Ovis aries: one gene and its partner. The protein of the gene in region 1 interacts with the protein of each later gene in a pairwise test. Links are inferred from orthologs where the notes say so. Each region holds a gene or a part of one and is shown on either strand. Other genes may lie near its edges. The genes, in order: DAB1 and MBNL1.

Region 1 (3,827 bases):
GAGGATGCTGGCAGGCTACAGTCCATGGGGTCTCAAGAGTCGGACATGACTTAGCAACTAAACCACCACCACGCTAGAACACATACTAAGTCGTCAGATGTGTGCACCTAAAGCCAACAATAGAACAGACCAACCAGAATAGGAGTGTTAACGCTGTCTTCAGTGCCGTGAACAGGGACCACAATTTTCCAAGTTGTTGATCAACTCTTGACTATGTTCCAAAGAAACAAAAGTATAATCTTCCCCAGTGTATGCATTTCTGAAAAATTAAGTGAATTAAAACTGTGCAAAGAAACTTTAAATTTCCACATGACTCAAACTACACTCAAATAATCACAAATTCTTTGTCATGCACGTTATCTCCCATATTATAGGAGGTCTAGTTCAATGCTCTTGGCCCTTAAATGTCAGTACTGCCCCCAACCCCACCAAGTTTTCCTGACAATCAAAACACACCCCAGGAATTTTCTAATCATCCCCTAGGAGGCAGTAGAGCTCCCACCAAGACCCATTGAACCCGGTCAAAGTCAATGGGAAAATAAGAAAAGCGAAGTTGCAGAATTCTTTGTTGTTACATTCAAGTCATTGTATTATTCTATGGCAGGCAACCTAAGCAAGCTGTCAGCACCAAGCCTCTTCACTTTTTGCTACAGAAAGATACAATGATTTTAAAAGGAGCACAAGTGATACTTTATACCATAATAACGGAAGCAATATAATTTCCACTTATTAAGTGCTTACAACATGTTAGGTATAGTATTAGGTGCTTGGCAAAATCCCTGCAGGGCCGATATCATTATCTCCTTTTAGGGATAAGGTGATAGGTGCTCAGAGAAGAAAAGTAGAGTGTTAGTATGTGTTCTCATTTCCTTGCACTAGGACCAAGGTGATCTGATAAGGATATTGTCTGTTTTGTTTGTTGCCACTCCTGCCTCATTCCATAAAAGTACTGAACACAATTAATTAGCAGGAAGCCTGTGTTTCTGTGTCCACCCCTTCTGGAGCCTCCTCTCACCTTGTAAGGAAATGGACTGGCTTTGAAAGTTGGCTCCCTCTCTTATGAATCAGTTGAAGGGCAGGTGGATCAGAGGCTAGCGCATGGGTGAGGCAGCCCATGTGTCATTTCTCTGGGTTCACCAGTCATCAACACAACCCAGGTCATTTTGGAAGCTGCTAGGATACCATACATCCACCCTCTTTTTTTTCCTGTTCTCACCGTTCTCTGCCTGCAAATTCCTTCTGACAGCCATAAAAATGCTTATTTTGAGAGATCAGTCTTCATCTTCTACTCTGCCTGGACTGGTCGTCTGTCTCCTGGGCTTGATTGCACCCTGAGAAGGGTGGGAACCCCTGGAAGGACATGGGAGTCTCCTCCAGGCCCACAGTAAGCTAAAACATCTGATGGTTGGACCAACTTTATGGACTGTGTTAAGATCAGAAGTCAGCCTTGGCCATTTGGCTGAGGTAGTAGGGGGCAGTGAAGAGAATGCTGGCTTTGGAGACAGATAACCTCAGTTCAGACCCTGATTTCAGCTTAATGTCCACTGTGTGACCCTGTGCAAGTTACTTTTCCTCTCTGAGCACCAATCACCTTATCCCTAAAATGGAGATAATGATACCGACCCTGCAAGGATTTTGTGAAGACGCGTAGCACCTAATACTAACCTAACATGTTGTAAGCACTTAATAAGTGGAATTTATGTTGATTCTGTTATTATGGTATAGAGTATCACTTGTACTCCTTTTAAAATGATTATATCTCACTGTAGCAAAATATTATGGTAATGTAAGTGAGCACACCCCCTGGAGTTTTGCAGTGACCCATCTGTGCCCCTATATGTGGTATTCCTAAATAGATTACTAAGCTACATTTTTTAATCTCTAAGATTGGCATAACAATAATATATAATAATACCCTAGAGCTACCTTTTATTGCATGTTTTTTACATATCAAGGAAGGTATTAAGTAATTTTATAGGCTGTGATTCAAATCATACTAATGGTTAACATTTACTCAATATTCATTCTATGTCAGCCACAGTTCTCTATATCTTAAATGTATAATCTCAGTCTTTAACCCAACGAGGCAGAAGGTATTTTCTGCCCATTTTACAGATAAGGAGAGGCTTAGAGACCTTCTTAAGCTCTCCCCAGATTCCACAGATAAGAAGTGGCAGTCTGAATTTTAACCTTGGTCTCAATCATCTTGCACATGGTTTTGATGTGGAGAAGGAAGATGTTGTAGCCCAATTTTGCAACAAAGAGCTTGACTCTTAGCAGAAGCAATGGGGATGCCCTCAGTCTAGCAGGAAGGGGAAGCAAAATTCAAGCCCAGATGTGCCTGTTTCCAGCACTCTGCCCTTCCCACTGAGCACACTGGTTCCTGAGCTGTATGATGTCAGAAACCTTTAAGAATGGAAAGACTATAACTACTCTGAGAACTATACGATTATTTTTATTACCCTCAAATGCCTGCCTGGCTTGCTCCCTCACTGAATTCTAGTTTCTACCTACAAGTCATCTCCTTAGAGCAGTTTTTCCTGACCACAGCTGTAGAAGGCAGACCCCGGGAGAGCAGGGACTTCCTCATACTCACCTTTGCATCCTAGCACACAGCCTGACTCTGAGTAGTCACCTGATACCTTCCTGCCAATCACTTGACTCCCTGAATGCTTCTTGCCCAGGGCTCCTGACTCTTCTTTTTCACACCTGCAGGTTATGTTGCTATGGGCGCCGTCCTCCCATCCTTCTGGGGCCAGCAGCCCCTTGTCCAACAGCAGATCGCCATGGGTGCTCAGCCGCCAGTCGCTCAGGTGATGCCGGGGGCTCAGCCCATCGCATGGGGCCAGCCGGGTCTCTTCCCTGCCACTCAGCAGCCCTGGCCCGCCGTGGCCGGGCAGTTTCCGCCAGCCGCCTTCATGCCCACACAAACTGTTATGCCTTTGCCAGCTGCCATGTTCCAAGGTCCCCTCACCCCCCTTGCAACCGTCCCAGCCACGGGTGACTCCGCCAGGTCAAGTCCACAGACCGACAAGCCCAGGCAGAAAATGGGAAAAGAAATGTTTAAGGATTTCCAGATGGCCCAGCCTCCGCCTGTACCCTCCCGCAAACCCGACCAGCCCTCCCTCACCTGCACCTCAGAGGCCTTCTCCAGTTACTTCAACAAAGTCGGGGTGGCACAGGATACGGATGACTGTGATGACTTTGACATCTCCCAGTTGAACTTGACGCCTGTGACTTCTACCACGCCATCGACCAACTCACGTGAGTGTCCTTCTCTGGAGACATAAACCCCTGAGAACAACTGATGCCTTGTTTCTGGTGTCAGAGAAACCAGCTCAGTTGCATTCAACAGGCCTCTTTGTTTATATCACTACTACTGCTGCTAACAATAGCCTCCCATTATTAGATGCCAGTTATATGTACCTTCTCCATGCTTTACATGTGTTATTTCTATACTCCTAACAATGCTTATGGAAAGTTTCATTAGACCTGTTTGAAGATAATGAAAGTGAGATTCAAAGACAAAGAAAATAGACAAAAGGGTCGAATTGAATACAAGCCTGTTGTTTGTCTAGCATGTCACCCTGCTTCTTCCGTTTTTGTTCATTTGCTCCTTCATGTGTTCATGTATGTATATCCCAGCTCTGATACATAGTTTTGGGTATGGCTTATTGAACTAAAACTGAATGGAGTATGTGCATTTAAAAATTTTTAGGAACAAGGATAAAAAAATTAGAAAATTAAGATCAGGAGAAAATGCAGGCCAGAGATAGAGCAGTCGTAAAGCCTCCCACAACAGGTAGAGCAGCAGCCAGAATTTGGCT
Region 2 (3,827 bases), about 200 Mb from region 1:
ACCAAGTTATTCTTTGTACTGAAAAAGTAGATTTTCTCTAAAATACCCAAACTCAGATATTTCTGATATTAGACCATGTGTCATCCGTGGTTAGCCAGTCATTCACCATGGTTTGTCTTGTGACTTGAAGTGTTGTTTTTGTGAAGGTTGTTTTGCATCCAGATGCTTTTAAGCTAATAACGTGCTCATGATCTCAACAGGTATCAGGCATGGTGATTTTCTATGGAATAAATCAGAGATATGTACATGTTACTTTACTTGTGAATGTATCGATAACTGTGATAAATGGTATAAAAGTTACTTTCATGCCAATATTTTGTTTTTCTGCTAATGTGTATACAATTTAAAATGTGCTGGGGGTGGTGGTAACAGCAGTTTTTGACTTTCCCCTTGTTCCTCTGAGAGTGCTGGACAGCGCCGAGGATGTAACATATACATTATCTTTTTTAATCTTCAAAATAAACTTACAGTGTAGGTTATATAGGGTTTCCCTATATAGCATAGGTTATATAGAGTTTCCCTATATAGCATAGATTATATAGGGTTTCCCTGTATAGCATAGGTTATATAGGGTTTCCCTGTAGAGCGTAGGTTATATAGGGTTTCCCTGTATAGCGTAGGTGATATAGGGTTTCCCTGTATAGCGTAGGTGATATAGGGTTTCCCTCTGTAGCGTAGGTGATATAGGGTTTCCCTGTATAGCATAGGTTATATAGAGTTTCCCTATATAGCATAGATTATATAAGGTTTCCCTGTGTAGCGTAGGTGATATAGGGTTTCCCTCTATAGCGTAGGTTATATAGGGCCAATGCAGAAGACATGAGGGACTGGGGTTCTATCCCTGGGTAGGGAAGATCGCCTGGAACCAGTGTTCTTGCCTGGTGGGCCACAGTCCACAGCGTCGCAGAAGTTGGACACTACTGAAGCGACTTAGCACACATGCACGTAGGTTATATAGCAGTTTTGAAGTGGATGAAAAGCCTGAGGCTTACAGAAGTTAGTTTTTTATGCAGCTCATGTAGCTGATGAGTGATCGAGCTCAACCTCTGCCCCACGTGCTGACACCTGTAATGTCCTTGCTCTTGTCCACGGTTCTCCACTGCCTCCTAACTTGAAATATTATTAGTAATGCTTTATTACATAAAGCTTGTTAACAGAGCAGGTAGTATCCTCTGATATTAGCCTGTGGATAAACTTATTCCAAAAAACTTAATCAACATAAGCCAGAAATAGGTCATTAAAATTAGAATTCTGACAGATTTTCTCACAAACATCAGTTTTCTGAGTCAGTTTACAGTACAAGGTCAAATTATGGTAAACAGGTAGATTTTTCTTAGAAAAATCAAAGAAAGTTCAAGAAAGTGGTTGATCGCTTCAATTAAGTCCTTTTTTACCCTCACAAACAGTTCTAACTAAATTTATTGGTGAAAGAGATTATGAGGTAATAATTAATGAGATAAGTTGCTATCGATATGACTTGACAATACTGTATTGAAATAAATGGGTCTGTCCCTGACAATATTTCATAATACAGCCTTTTATATATATTTTGATGAGAAGAATCATCCCAAAACAAACATATTCATATTTATTAGTTTATAGTAACTTATTTTGTTTCTCTATTTTATGCCATAAGTTTTTGAAGGGTAAACATATCTGTTCCTGTTGTTTTATAATTCTTAGGTAATGGAGACTAGATTTATTGCTGAAAGGTTAAAGGCTGCATTTTTTCACCAATATTTCATTGTGCTTGCTGATCTCTGTATTCAGCAGGAAATATGTAGGAATTTCCTCCCTTTCATCTATACATTTCTTAATATTTAGACTCATAAAGCTTAGTAGTAATTTTAACTTATGAGATATGTGTAAAGGTGTTTTACTGAAGATACAGTGTGCCTTGAGTCCTGTAAGTTTGTTTCCTTACAACTCAGTACAAGTAAAAATAGATGGTAAAACTTCATGATTCTTTTGGGTTCGTTAAAGTTGGCCAGGAGACATTAAGGAAGGAGCCTAAGATTTTTATTTGATATTCTGTGTTAATATTACCCTAGCAGTTTGTAGATTTTTAAACTTGGATCTAGAAATATTAAAGCTAATATTTTAATACAGGAACTTCTCTAAGCTTGAAACTTTTTTGAAATGTCTTAATACTTCATTTTGATAGAATTGATTACTTATTCAAATCTGTTATAAAGTCATTGGATAATACACTGTGTGAAAGACTCATGGTAGATTCAAGATAGGTTTATATTATTATGATTTTTTTTTTTAAGATTTGTAGATTTTATTTTTTTAAGATGATGTTTTCTGCTTTCATTACTTAGGGTCGTTGCTCCAGGGAGAACTGCAAATATCTTCATCCACCCCCACACTTAAAAACACAATTGGAGATAAATGGGCGCAATAACTTGATTCAGCAGAAGAACATGGCCATGTTGGCCCAGCAAATGCAACTAGCCAATGCCATGATGCCTGGTGCCCCATTACAACCCGTGGTAAGTATGTTCTTAGTTCTCATTCCTCAAGTTTGTCTTGCTTAGTGCTCAGTTTCAGTGTTAAATTGGTGATTACACTAGATCAAGTGAGCACAGGTAACAATATCAGTTGCCTAGCATTTTCCAGCAAAAATATCAGTCAAACCTTGGAAACAATTTCCCTAGGAACAATTTTTACATGATAAAGTTACTCATCTTCTGGCTAAATCATGTGAAAATTGACATGACAGAATGTTTAACCCCTCAAATTCTCTTCAAATTAAATCCTGTGACTTGCAGATGTGTAATGGTCTTTTTAAAAATGACCATTAAACTCATCAGTATAGTCTAGGTGCATTTTCAGGCTACCTTTTTAACACTAATAGTCATTTTGAAAATCGGTGTAAATCATCTTTAATTTTGAGTAAGTGTTTCCCTTCCCTCTCTCATTAAAGAGAATCTATATAGTTCTTTCTTGAAAAGGAGCCTTCGTTATTCTTTTAAACTTACTATGAATTGAAACTATTTGGTAGTTACAGATGCTAGGAAAATTCTGACAGTGGTGAATCCATATCATAGATCTGGAAGTCTCATCAGAGAACTAATCAGGAGAGGCAGAAACTCCATGGACTTTTTAGGGAAAAAAGCTAAATTTTATAAACTCTAGGTGGTCACACAGATTTAATGTTTACTGAACAGTGTAGGTAGATAACCTATGATTCTAGGCATATTTATTTATTTTTTTGTTTGAATTTGGGGGGGAGGGTATACGTGACATATGACTTTTATAACCTTTACTCACACTTATCCACAAAAATGTTAAGAGATTAATATCATAACTAAGTTTCAAAAGATGTTTTGGTATTAATTTTGATATAGTAATTTTGTATTTAAATGCATGTTGAAATTTGCAATAATTGGAATATTGCTGTCACTGACTTAATATGCAATATTATGTGGTCCTAGAAACGTGAAGACCCACGTTTTTCTGATATGGCAACTGTAGCATGTGTGCTAACTAATTTTTTTTCCTAATAAATTTTAACACCTGAACTCAATGTAATTATTATTCTCTCTTAGAACTTAATGAACCAATCATTCCAAAAAAGAGGGGGGGATTGCATTTCGAGGTGGGAGGGATCTCCAAATCCAATCGGCAGTGATACCAATTATCAATACTATACAGTTGAGGTGAGAGAATGTTATAATTCTGTTTTCACTTGATATATTTTTTTTTCCATTATTGGGAACTCAGTTAACAATATGATATCTTAAATTTGTTTTTGTGACATCTGTTAATTTCACATGTCTGTGTGGGGATAGCATGAAGATTTCCATTTGGTTTAAAAAAAG

Evidence for each region.
Region 2: the proteins of DAB1 (region 1) and MBNL1 interact in binary tests that used the Homo sapiens proteins (3 or more experiments, as listed by UniProt). The link is inferred for Ovis aries from reciprocal best matches to the Homo sapiens genes DAB1 and MBNL1.

Annotation. Positions count from the first base shown.
Region 1 is NC_056054.1:31,626,309-31,630,135, reverse strand, and holds part of DAB1 (disabled homolog 1), read left to right. Parts: intron 1-2,715; coding exon 2,716-3,264; intron 3,265-3,827. UniProt on the Homo sapiens protein: Signaling adapter of the reelin-mediated signaling pathway, which regulates the migration and differentiation of postmitotic neurons during brain development.
Region 2 is NC_056054.1:236,119,951-236,123,777, reverse strand, and holds part of MBNL1 (muscleblind-like protein 1), read left to right. Parts: intron 1-2,324; coding exon 2,325-2,495; intron 2,496-3,554; coding exon 3,555-3,665; intron 3,666-3,827. UniProt on the Homo sapiens protein: Mediates pre-mRNA alternative splicing regulation. Acts either as activator or repressor of splicing on specific pre-mRNA targets. Inhibits cardiac troponin-T (TNNT2) pre-mRNA exon inclusion but induces insulin receptor (IR) pre-mRNA exon inclusion in muscle.